Linked DNA regions of Oryctolagus cuniculus. The protein of the gene in region 1 interacts with the protein of each later gene in a pairwise test. Links are inferred from orthologs where the notes say so. Each region holds a gene or a part of one and is shown in the gene's direction. Other genes may lie near its edges.

What was found.
Region 2: the proteins of NUTM1 (region 1) and P4HA3 interact in binary tests that used the Homo sapiens proteins (3 or more experiments, as listed by UniProt). The two-hybrid records come from large-scale screens. The link is inferred for Oryctolagus cuniculus from reciprocal best matches to the Homo sapiens genes NUTM1 and P4HA3.
Region 3: the proteins of NUTM1 (region 1) and SAMD4A interact in binary tests that used the Homo sapiens proteins (3 or more experiments, as listed by UniProt). The two-hybrid records come from large-scale screens. The link is inferred for Oryctolagus cuniculus from reciprocal best matches to the Homo sapiens genes NUTM1 and SAMD4A.

Annotation. Positions count from the first base shown.
Region 1 is NC_091443.1:55,645,895-55,650,311, reverse strand, and holds the start of NUTM1 (NUT family member 1), read left to right. Parts: upstream 1-1,537; 5' UTR 1,538-1,669; coding exon 1,670-1,685; intron 1,686-4,044; coding exon 4,045-4,417. UniProt on the Homo sapiens protein: Plays a role in the regulation of proliferation. Regulates TERT expression by modulating SP1 binding to TERT promoter binding sites.
Region 2 is NC_091432.1:65,523,633-65,527,279, reverse strand, and holds part of P4HA3 (prolyl 4-hydroxylase subunit alpha-3), read left to right. Parts: intron 1-869; coding exon 870-1,029; intron 1,030-3,647. UniProt on the Homo sapiens protein: Catalyzes the post-translational formation of 4-hydroxyproline in -Xaa-Pro-Gly- sequences in collagens and other proteins.
Region 3 is NC_091443.1:21,709,856-21,713,502, reverse strand, and holds part of SAMD4A (protein Smaug homolog 1), read left to right. Parts: intron 1-528; coding exon 529-862; intron 863-3,647. UniProt on the Homo sapiens protein: Acts as a translational repressor of SRE-containing messengers.

The DNA of each region.
Region 1 (4,417 bases):
GTAGTCCGCCCGTGCGCCCCCGCGGGCCGGGCCTGGGCCGGCTACACAGTTGCACAGTTCCACCCTTGCAGACGTTAGGAGACACGTGGAGGGTGCCCACGGTGTGCCCGGCACTGCCAAGCGCCGTAGGGGGGTAGGGAGGCACGGTCGGGGCTCGCACACTGGTGTGGACAAGCCCGCCTTCACCCCAGGATGCACACCCTCTCCAGAGCGTCTCCAGTGGGTTTCCAGGGCCCACAGAAAAGAGGGCTCGCGGATTCGGCGCCCCTTGACCCTAGGGGAGAAATAAGGTTTTCTGTCCTCCCCACTTTTACATCCGGTTCCTACGCCCCGATTCAAAGTATTGGCGGTAAAGAGTGCATGACGGGTATTCCATATTCTCTAAAGGAAAGAGCGTAAAGTTATTTTATGAGACCGGTCCAGTATGTCTTAGTGGGCGAACCCAGATTCAAACCCAGATCTCTTTCCAGAAAATTCAGCGCTCTTTCTCAGAGTGGTAAGTAGCTAAGAATAGCGTAAGATATATCTTCTAGGACTATGTAGAATCCGTAAAAGAACGTAGAAATTCTCCTTATAGGACTCCAGTTTAAGGACGTGACCACTACAGAGTTAGTTGTAACGGCAAAAACATTGGAACGTATGTGAATTTTGTAACGAGAAAAACCCAAAAGCTTTTTTTTTTTTAAAAATATAGTTTGTACTTGCTTGTAGTTGATTAAAGTGCCGCTCCAGAAATTCACAAGAAACATGACACTCGCTCCCTCTGCTTTAGAGAATTTGGTTACAAGTAAAGACTTGTTGCTGTATAGTCTATTTTGTACAGTTTGACCTTTGAAATATTCTAATATGTGACCTATTTAAAAATTTCCAAATAACAAAATAATTTAACAAAAAACTGTCTGGTCTTGAAGATCTAGCCGCGTGGCAGTTTGAATTATGATTATTTTTAAATGTAACGGGGCTTCTCAGCGAAGGGTAATCTATGGTTTTTGCGGACTGCAGTTTCCACTAGTGGACTCCTGTGGGGCTGCAGGTCTGCTTTCCAAGGAAGTGATGTGCAGACAGCAACTGAATGCCCCTGGTCATGTGAGACAAGTCTAAATGCCAACGTTTTATTCCTTTGGCCCACATTGCAATGTGCTCTGAATTTGGTTCAGAAAATATAGCTGTCACTGAATTAAGTCAAGGGTCTACCACCTGCTATTAGTAGGAAGTCAGTTGGAAAATCGGATAGGTTTAAAGGGTACAAAACTAGGTACGAGATGGAAAATTAAAGTGTAGGGAACTGAAAGGTAAAACTGTATAGTATGATGTTTGGAATCTGAGGAAGATTTTACAAATTGCTCTAAAGAGGCACACAAGCAATTGTGTTGCCAAACTCTAGTTTGGGGGGATTCCTGGGTATTGTCTACTAATTAGAACCCTCCCAACCCCCACCTCATGCCCGCCCCCCCGCCCCCCCCCCCCCCCCCCCGCACTCCCTTCTCCCCTCCCCCACTGCAGAACGCCCGGAGTTCGCATTCTAGTTCTGTTTTGCTACAATCCTTACACGTCCTTCCTTGGATCCCTGTGTATCTATTGGAGCCAGGTTACTTTCTGGGACTCCAGACCTGACTGTCTCATTCTGGAGGCTTCCAGACAGCCAGAGTTAGTACCCAAGCCTGAGACCATGGCTTCAGATGGAAGTAAGTCTCAGGTGGCGGGGCAGGGCCCCATCCCCAACCACCTACTCACATCCTTGGGGATTCAAGTTTGACACTTCAGCAGGGCACAAGCTTTTTGGGCTGATCTAGAAAATGTGAGACCATCCCCCAAAGGCATCACCCCTGGGAGGCTGGGTCAGGTGCTTGTACCATGAACACTAGGGGTTAAGGAAGGAGGAGGGCCTCCTTCGAGTCAGATGGTGGCATCCCAGGGCAAACATGCTGAGTGTGGAGTACAGATGGCATAACTGATTCTCTGGAAGAGAATGTGTTTCTGCAGCCAGGGCAGGGGTATACGTGGTAGGAGTGGCACAGATCCACGGGTCTACATTACCAGGAAGCTGGAATTAGGAGGCAGAACTAAGAATCAAACCCAGGCACTCCACTGTGGGATGCAGGTCTCTTAACCTTCAGGCCAAGCATCGGCCTCTGCCCCCAGTGTTTCCTGACTCATCAGGACCAGAGGAGGTGGTTCATCACTGGCATGAGAGCCGTGGCTTCCCTAAAATATTCTGTTTCCCTACATTTTGTGGACCTGAGTCCTTGAGACGGATGACTTATGTTTGGTAGTTCCTGGCATACTCCTGGCCCTCTGCTCTGTGGTTCAGATGAGTGAATCTTAGTTTGTCACATTCTAAATCTCTTTCAAGGTCAGGAAGTAGAACTGGCCTTAGTCTGCTGGTGGAATACTCTTTGTAAGAGGAGGAGGAGAGCACCGTGAAATCAGGCAGGTTTCCCACCTTTACTGTTATTAAAAGCCCTGGGAGACACAGGTCATGATTAACAAAGTATATGCGTGTGTTCTTACCCCTGGCCTCCTTGCCTAGTGTCCACACAGCTCCTCCACAGCAGGAGCAGTTCCTGACTCAGCTGTCCCTGCCTCAGCGCTAGCTCAGTGCCTTGTTCCTAGTGGACCCTCAGTGTCTGCTATTAGCAGCCCCAAGCACTGCCAAACTTCAACATGTCCAGAGCGACTGAAAACCTCCCTCTCCAGGGCCATTTCCTGGTCTTTATCTAATCCTCTCTGGTTAGCTATTCCTGGATGTTATACAACATTTCTGGGAGTCAAACATCTAATCCACATACCTTCTCCTGGGATTTGCACTTCCATGAGTGGCGGCAGAGGCCACAGAGGACCTAGGAACAGAGGGCGGGGGCTGTGAATCCCATTTGGAATAGGTGGGAATAGGAAGCGTACATGTATGCAAGGTGTTATGGGACAAGGGCACCGCAGCTTTCATTGTGTTGTTTTAGGAGAGAAAGTGAAGATGCTGACAGGAAAGGGAAAAGGAGCAGGAGATGGGCCAATGATTTTTTTTAAAGACTTATTTATTCATTTGAAAGAGTTACACAGAGAGAGGAGAGACAGAGAGAGAGAGAGAGGTCTTCATCTGATGGTTCACTCCCCAATTGGCCGCAGTGGTCAGAGCTGCGTCGATCCAAAGCCAGGAGCTGGGAGCCAGGAGCTTCTTCCAGGTCTCCCACGTGGATGCAGGGCCCCAAGCAGTTGGGTCATCTTCCACTGCTTTCCCAGGCCATAGCAGGGAGCTGGATCAGAAGTGGAGCAGCCGGGTCTCATCAAACCGGCGCCCACATGGGATGCCGGCGCTTCAGGCCAGGGCATTAACCTGCTGCGCCATAGCACCGTAGCACCGGACCCATTTTTTTTTTTTTTTTTAAGATTGATTTTATTTATTTGAGAGAGAGAGAGGTCTTCCATCTGCTGGTTCACTCCCCAAATGACCACACAACGGCCAGAGCTGAGCTGATCCGAAGTCAGGAGCCAGGAGCTTCTTCTGGGTCTCCCACCCAGGGGCCCAAGGACTTGGACCATTTTCTGCTGCTTTCCCAGGCCATAGCACAGAGCTGGATCAGAAGTGGAGCAGCCGGGACACAAACTGGCGCCCATACGGGGTGCTGGTGCTGCAAGCCGGGGCTTTAACCCCCTACGCCCCAGCCCAGACCCCCAGTAATCTTTTTTGAAACTGCCTCCTTTTCAAGGGCCCTGTGGGTACCTGGAGAGGAGCCAGAACTTCTCTGAACTAGTTCCGCTGCTGCTCTGAGTCTGCCACGGGCTGTTTTTCTTTCAGAGGTGTCAACCCTATCTCCTGTCTTGCTAAACAGCCTGTGGGGCTGGCTGGCAGGGAGGGTCCACCAGGCATCCCCTGGCTTAGAGAAGCTCTCAGAGGCGGTGGTGGCTTGGGCTTGCCTCTTCCTGATAGACAGTGTCTTGTTGACAAGGGGCAACTCCTCTAACACAGGACTTCTCAGCTAGCGCAGATTCCTAACTTCTGGTCTCCTTTTCTCCGGCTCCATTCTCTCCTTTTCTTTGTCTCAACAGCATCTCCATTGCCAGGACCGGACATGACCATGAAACCTGGTGCTGCCCTGTCTCCTTTCGCTGCACTTCCCTTTCCCCCTCCTACTCCTGGCCCGCCAGACCAGCCCCCCTGGGACCCACCTCCACAGCCCCCTGTGCCTTCGGCATTCTCAGGAAATAATCCTCTGGTGCTCTCTGCTTTCCCCAGCCCCTTGCTGATGACAGGGGATGGGATTCCTGGCCCCAGTGGGGCTGGGGCTAGTAAGGTCATAGTCACGGTCAAGACAGAAGGGAGCCCGGCTGAGCCCTCGCAAGCTCAGAACTTCATCCTTACTCCCACAGCCATCAATTGGATTGCCTCGGACACTGAGGGCCCCCCAACTCGCTTTGTGAC
Region 2 (3,647 bases), on another chromosome or scaffold:
ATCATTTTCTCAGCTTAAGAAGGTCCCATGCAACCTCAGCCTAATTGCTTTCTCTAACCCTTGTAATATTCTTGTGTCAGAGAAAAATCAACTTTATCTATAGATTCATTGATTTCAGGGGAGGAGATGGTATTTTCTTCACTTTTCAGATCAAAAAACTATCTCCTCCTCCTCCTCTTGCATCAGGCTCCAACCCTCTGGATGTAGCTCTGTCCACACAGCTTCCCTGGAACTGGGCTCTCGGAGGTCATCAGGGAACCCCTCCCTCAGTGCCAGATCTCTTTCCTGCCCACACACCTTCACAGACTGCCCATTATCCACCAAGAAAATCCAGATGCCTTGCCACGTGTCCCCGGCTTCCTCATGCCCTGAGCCCACTTTCCCAGCCTTATCTCCCCCTACTTCTTTTATGGACCAAGTGCTTTGGCATCTGCCTGTGTTACTCATAGTCACACCTCCATGTTTGTGCTCATGTTGCTTCTTAAGGCTCGAATATCCCTGCGTGTTTTCCACCTGTGAGTATTGACACTTTATGCCCCCTTCAAACTTCTGCTTAAATGCCGCCATCGTATGGCAATGCCGCCATCGTATGGCAATACCTCACAGAGTTAACTTCTCCCTCCTCTGTACTCCCCAGTAATTGAAAGTCTTCATTTTTTTCTATCTTGATGGATACTTAGTTATATTTGTGCTGGTCTTTTCTTCCATAATGCAGGAGCCTTTGAAAGCAATAGCTTTGTCTTGGGTATCTTTGTAAACACGAGAGTTTCCTGCCTGCCTGCCTGCCTTCTGGCGGTTGACATCATCCATTCAGACATCACTGAGTCATTTGTGGCCCCAGAGCATTGATGATGCAATCTACGTTTTAGTGCCTGGCTGAAGGACACGGTAGACCCAATGCTGGTGACCCTGGACCACCGCATCGCTGCCCTCACCGGCCTCGATGTCCAGCCTCCCTACGCGGAGTACCTCCAGGTGGTGAACTACGGAATCGGAGGGCACTATGAGCCTCACTTCGACCATGCTACGGTGACCGTGGGGCCAGGGCTATGGGGTGGGGAGCCAGGGCAGAGGCAGAGCTGTTGTAGGGCTGTCAGGGAATACTAATCGAAATCTTACAACAAAGATTCTTATTCCAGGAATATTTGAAAGGCTTAGTTTCAAGCTGACTGCTGCTGATTCTTTGTCTTCCGAGTGCCATCCGCCTTTCCGAGGTTTGCTAGCTGGGGGAGAATGTGGTCTGGAAAGGAATTGTCTCTCCTGCTTCTCCTGGGGTCTCCCCATGAGGATTGTCCTCCTTCTGGTCACTGTCCTTTCACCAGCATCTCAGTTGCTCACTTTTGCTGACAGTATAAAATGATTTCTGAGGAGTATAAAAATCTCTCCAAAACTGATCTATAGATTCAACCCCAACTTCATTAAAATTCCAGGAGTTTTTTTTTTTTTTGGTAGAAATTAACATGCTGATTCTAAAATTGTATATGGAAATGTAAAGGACATAGAGCATTTTGTTTTTTTTCTTTTTAAAGTTGTATTTATTTATTTGAAAGTCAGAGTTAGACAGAGAGAGAAGGAGAGGCAGAGAGAGAGATCTTCCATCTGCTGGTCCACTCCCCAATTGGCCATAGTGGCCGGAGCTGAGCTGATCCGAAGCCAGGAGCCAGGAGCTTCTTCCAGGTCTTCTATGTGGGCAGGTGCCCAAGAACTTGGGCCATCTTCTGATGCTTTCCCAGGCCACAACAGAGAGTTGGATCAGAAGTGGAGCAGCCGGGACTCGAAGCAGTGCCCATATGGGATGTTGGCACTGCCACAATGCCAGCAATTTTGAAAAGAACAAAAGCAGGACATACACTCCCTGATTTTAAAACTTGGCATAGAACTACAGTAATCAAGACAGTGCGGTGCTAGTGTAAGGACAGACACAGAAGTCAATAGAACAGAACAGAGTCCAGAAATAAACCCATACCTTTATGATCACTTGATTTTTTTTATAACAATGCCAGGGAAACTCAGAGAATGAAATACAGTCTTTTCAACAGATTGTGCTGGAACAATTCAATATCTATCTGCAAAATAATCATAATGCTAAGATGATGACTTTAGACCCTTATCTCACACCATATACAAAATTAACACAAAATGGATCATAGGCCTAAGTGTAAAGTGAAAAATTATAAAATTCTAGAAGAAATAAGAGAAAATATTTATGATCACTGGTTAGGCAAGGATTTCTTAGATGGATATCAAAGCACGATCCATAAAATTAGGAAACTGATAAACTGGACCTGATCAGAATGAAAGTCCAGTGCTTTTCAAAAAATACCATTAGAAAATGAAAAGATAAACCAGGGGCTGGCACCATGGTTCACTTGGTTAATCCTCCACCTGAGGCGCTGGCATCCCATATGGGCCCTGGTTCTAGTACTGGCTGTCTCTCTTCCAGTCCAGCTCTCTGCTATGGCCCAGGAGGGCAGTGGAGGATGGCCCAAGTGCTTGGGCCCTGCACCCGCATGAGAGACCAGGAGGAAGCACCTCGTTCCTGGCTTCAGATCAGTGTAGCGCCAGCCATGGCAGTCATTTGGGGAGTGAACCAATGGAAGGAAGACCTTTCTCTCTCTCTCTCTCTTTCTCTCATTGTCTATAATTCTACCTGTCAAATAAAAAATATATTTTAAAAAAAGGAGAGATAAGCCACCACCTAGGAGAAGATATTTGCAAATCATGTATCTGATAAAGGACTTATATTCAAAATATATATAGAATGTTTATAACTCAGTGACAGGATAAACTTCTCAATTTTTTAAGATGGGCAAGAGATTATTTGAACAGCACTTCACCAAAGAAGATAAGTGAATGACTAATAAGCACATGAAAAGATGTTCAGCATCATTAAAGAAGTGTAAATTAAAGCCACAGTGAGATAGCACTGCATTCCTATTAAAATGACTAAAACAAGAAAATATCAGGGCAACTATTGGGAAGGATGGGGAGGAACCGGAACACTCACCTACTACTAGTGAGAATGCAAAAGGGCACAGCTACTTTGAAAATAGTTTGGCTTTTCTTAAAAAGTTAAATGTATACCTGCATGTGATCTAGCCATCCTACTCCTAGATGTTTTACCTGAAAACATAAATACACACACACAGACCCATACAAAGACCTGTACATGAATATTTATACTAGCTCTATCTGTAAGCCCAAAAATTGGAAACAGCCCAAATATCCATAAGCAGGTGAATGGATAATAAATAAATGTGATACATCTGCACAATAGAATATCACTGGGCTATAAAAAATAATTAACTACTGCTATATCCAACAACATAGACGGATCCTAAAAACTATATACAAGAAGCCAAACATAAAAGGCTGCATATTTTATGATTCAATTTGTATGAGACTTCTAGAAAAGGCAAAACTGTAGAGTTAGAAAGTCGGTAACTGTTGTCCAGGGTTGAGGTGGGAGCAGAAACTGACTGCAAGCTTTTCAGGGGATAGAAGTGCTCGGAGATTGGATGTGAGCAGTTGGACAACCGTTAAAATGTACTGCAATTCATTGAACAGTACTCTTAGAGTGGGTGAATTTTATGGTATGTAAATTATATCTCCAACTGTCTACAACAACAAAAGGACTATGTCTCTTT
Region 3 (3,647 bases), about 34 Mb from region 1:
ACAGGACTGGCGTCTCCATAGCCACCTGCTGCAGCAGGAGCTAAGGCACACACCAAGCTGCCGAGAGCTTGGCCCACAGTCACGAAATGGTGCCAGAATCTGACCCAGAGTCTATACTTTGAGTCGCCACCCTGGGCTGCTGGTGGCATGGGCTGAGAGATGGGGCGTGGATGGCTTCCTTCACGCGTAAGGAGTCGCACTTGGGCTGCAAGGCCAGCCCATGACCCAGCCTCTAAAGAGCGTGGGGTGAAGTCGAGGAACGCGTCTTGGAGGAAGCCAGGGAAGAATGTGCCACTCGTGGCCTGGGGCCGGGTGTCTTCCTCCCTGCACACACCTGTATCCGCCAGGCCTTCTCCGGGGCTGATGGCAGTGGGACAGTGGCAGCGGCTGCTTTCCCTGAGAGCGTTCCGATGAACAGGCAGCCGGGACTCCTGGGTGGGAGCAGCCGGGGTCGGGGAGGGGCAGGCGTGGCAGGGGGACACCCTGTTCCTGAGCCTGATGTCGAGGCCTCTCCCTCTGTCCATGCAGGACATCATTGAGGGGGGCAGCCTGCGCGTCCCCCTCCAGGAGCTGCACCAGATGATCCTGACTCCCATCAAGGCCTACAGCTCCCCGAGTGCCACCCCGGAAGCTCGCCGCCGGGAGCCCCCGGCCTCGCAGCAGCCCTCGCTCATGGGCCCCGAGAGTCAGAGCGCTGACTGCAAGGACAGCGCCACGGCCAGCAGCGCTTCGGCCAGTGCCTCGGCCGGGGCCAGCGGCGGGCTGCAGCCACACCAGCTGAGCAGCTGTGACGGGGAGCTGGCCGTCGCCCCCCTGCCGGAGGGGGACCTCCCTGGGCAGTTCACACGCGTCATGGGAAAAGGTATTGTCCTCCTTAGCCCCAGAAGGATGAGCAGCTCAGGGTGGAGGCACCTGGACTGACGTCCAGGCCCTGGGCTCCGCCTCCCCAACCCCGTCTCTCTGACCCCCTCGGCCTTAAAGGAGATGGAGCCCTCCCAGTAGTCCTTGGGGGAGGCTGACAACCGTGATTTCACAAACAAGCCATTGGCTCCGTGCTGCCGCTCCCCAAAGCCGGAATGGCAGAAGCAGGTGGGCAGCCAAATGGGGGGTTGGTCCTTTGGCCCAGAGCCCAAGAGCCCCCTGTGTGGGAGGGGCCAGGCCCATGACAGAGGCCTCTGACCCTCACCGCTTCAAGTCTTCTGCCAGGTGCCCCACGGTGAGGATTCTCTGCACAGAGCCGTCATGTTCATACTCTCCAGGGTGGCTGCACCACCAGAAGCGCTTAGGACTCCTAGCATGGGATTACTCGGGTTTGTGTGTGCCAGGCACGGGTCTCCGTGCCAGTCACCCAGATGCCTCTATTCTACAGAAGAGGAGACTGGGGCACACGGGCTGAGTAGCCCACCTCAGCTTATACAGTAGATGGCTGGGATTTCAACCCTGAAGTCTACCATCTGTGCTTTCTTATAAGCTCACGATGGAGCAAGGGTCCCCACTGTTCCACGTGAAATCTTAGGGTACCATTTCTTTCTTTCTTTTTTTTTTTTTTTTGGACAGGCAGAGTGGACAGTGAGAGAGAGAGAGACAGAGAGAAAGGTTTTCCTTTTGCCGTTGGTTCACCCTCCAATGACCGCTGCGGCCGGCGCACTGCGCTGATCCGATGGCAGGAGCCAGGTGCTTCTCCTGGTCTCCCATGGGGTGCAGGGCCCAAGCACCTGGGCCATCCTCCACTGCACTCCCTGGCCACAGCAGAGAGCTGGCCTGGAAGAGGGGCAACCGGGACAGAATCCGGCACCCCGACCGGGACTAGAACCCGGTGTGCCGGCGCCGCTAGGCGGAGGATTAGCCTAGTGAGCCGCGGCGCCGGCCCAGGGTACCATTTCTTAATTCCCACCCTCTGGGCGAATGCAGCACTGCAGGCCCTCACCTGGGACTGTGTGCAGTGCACAGCCTACACATCCATACTGGACTGCCTTGCCTAGCAGACAGTTCTCTCGCCCCATTCTCTTCACTCACGCCATGCCTCCTCATCCTCCAGGTCTAAGTAAGGGAGTAACAAAGCCTGATCCCCTGGGTGGGGTAGGGTGCCCCTCTCCCAGGCCCCCAGCCCCTGTCCTCTCCTTGTCTGTACCCGGTTTACATTGGATTGCCATTGTCTGCTTCACCCTCTCCATTCGGCGGCAGCACTCTCAGACTACTTTTAATAGGCGCAGGACACCCTGCCTGTAGCACAGCACCTTGCTTGTGCTAGGTGCCGGCCAAGTAGTGGGCACAGGCCGAAGGGTGACACCAGTACCTAAAGTTAGCCTCGACCCTGGGCTAGCCAAGCACACCGCGGCCGCACTGGGCGGCTGTCTGTAGGGCAGGCGGGAATCCACAGCGGGGTCCTTCCCCGTGGTCCTGACCCTTATGTCCACATCCTTGGAAATGTCCAGTGTTAAAATAACTTGTGCCTGATGGATGTGTCTTGACTTGGAAAAAAAAAAAATGCGGCGAATGCTGCCCCTTTCTCTTACAGCAGGGGAAGCCAGTTTTTCCCCTGTGTTGTCACTCTTTCAGAGCCAAATTTTTCACCAAAAGAAATGGACATCTGACCTTTAGAGTTGCAATAGGTGCACAGCCCCCACCCTCCATGGGTCTCCTAAAAAAGACTTTAATTCATGAAAATCTGGTGCACCAGGAGATAACTCCTAGCTTCCCTTCCGGCTTGATGGCCGGGGGGCTCCTTGCTGTCCCCTGCTTGCCGCCCCACCCACCCCTGGGCTGTATGGGACCAGGCCTGACACAGCTCTGCCAAGCCCGTCTTGAGGCAGTAGTGTGACAGAGGGGCCCTGGCCCCTTGCCAACCCTCTGCTACTGCTTCTGTTTAAACTGTAGCTGGTTTACAACAAATTACAAACCAGTTCCCACTCCACGTTAAACAAAACAGTGCCCAGGGAACGACAGCCCCCTCCCCCCACCCCTGGTGATCCCTGCACTGTTTCTTCCAGAGGTGGCCCTGTGATGTTTGGGGCCGTCTCCTGCAGGACTTCATCATCGCTTATGAGTGCGCGAATGTCCATTTTTACACACACTGGTGGTCTTTTCATTCTTGTCTGCAGCTTGGTTTTTTTAATTTTTTTTAAACACTATATACTTTGAATATTTCTACCACCACTGTATGCATGAACCATAATTGGTTACCAGGGTCCCCGTAAATGGACAAGTGGGTGTGATTGCAAACACTGCGGTACTGAAAATCTATATGCCAAGGCACAGAATCAATGGGATCCTGTGAGGCACTGGTCAGGTGGGGCCAGGGAGAGGAAGGAAGAAGTCAAGGGTGATGCCAGGTGTCCAGCTGGAGGGGCCAGCGTCCTCGCTCTGGTTCCCTTCTGTGTCCCGTCATCTCTCCCCCTACACGCTTATGGCCTTGTAAAGACCACCACCAAATTGCAGCCAATGGCCTCTGACGCGAGCAGAACGGCTGCCCTCCTGTGGCCGGGAGGAATCCAGTGTCTCCGCTCTGCCCCCAGACTGACCCTCTCCGTCTTCCTATACACTGGCTGGGTGTGTCGGAAGCTGTGTGCGTGTAGCCGGGAGCCTCACTTTGAGAATAGACTTCCCACTCCTGTGCACGCCCACACACACACAGCCCTGCCCCCTGG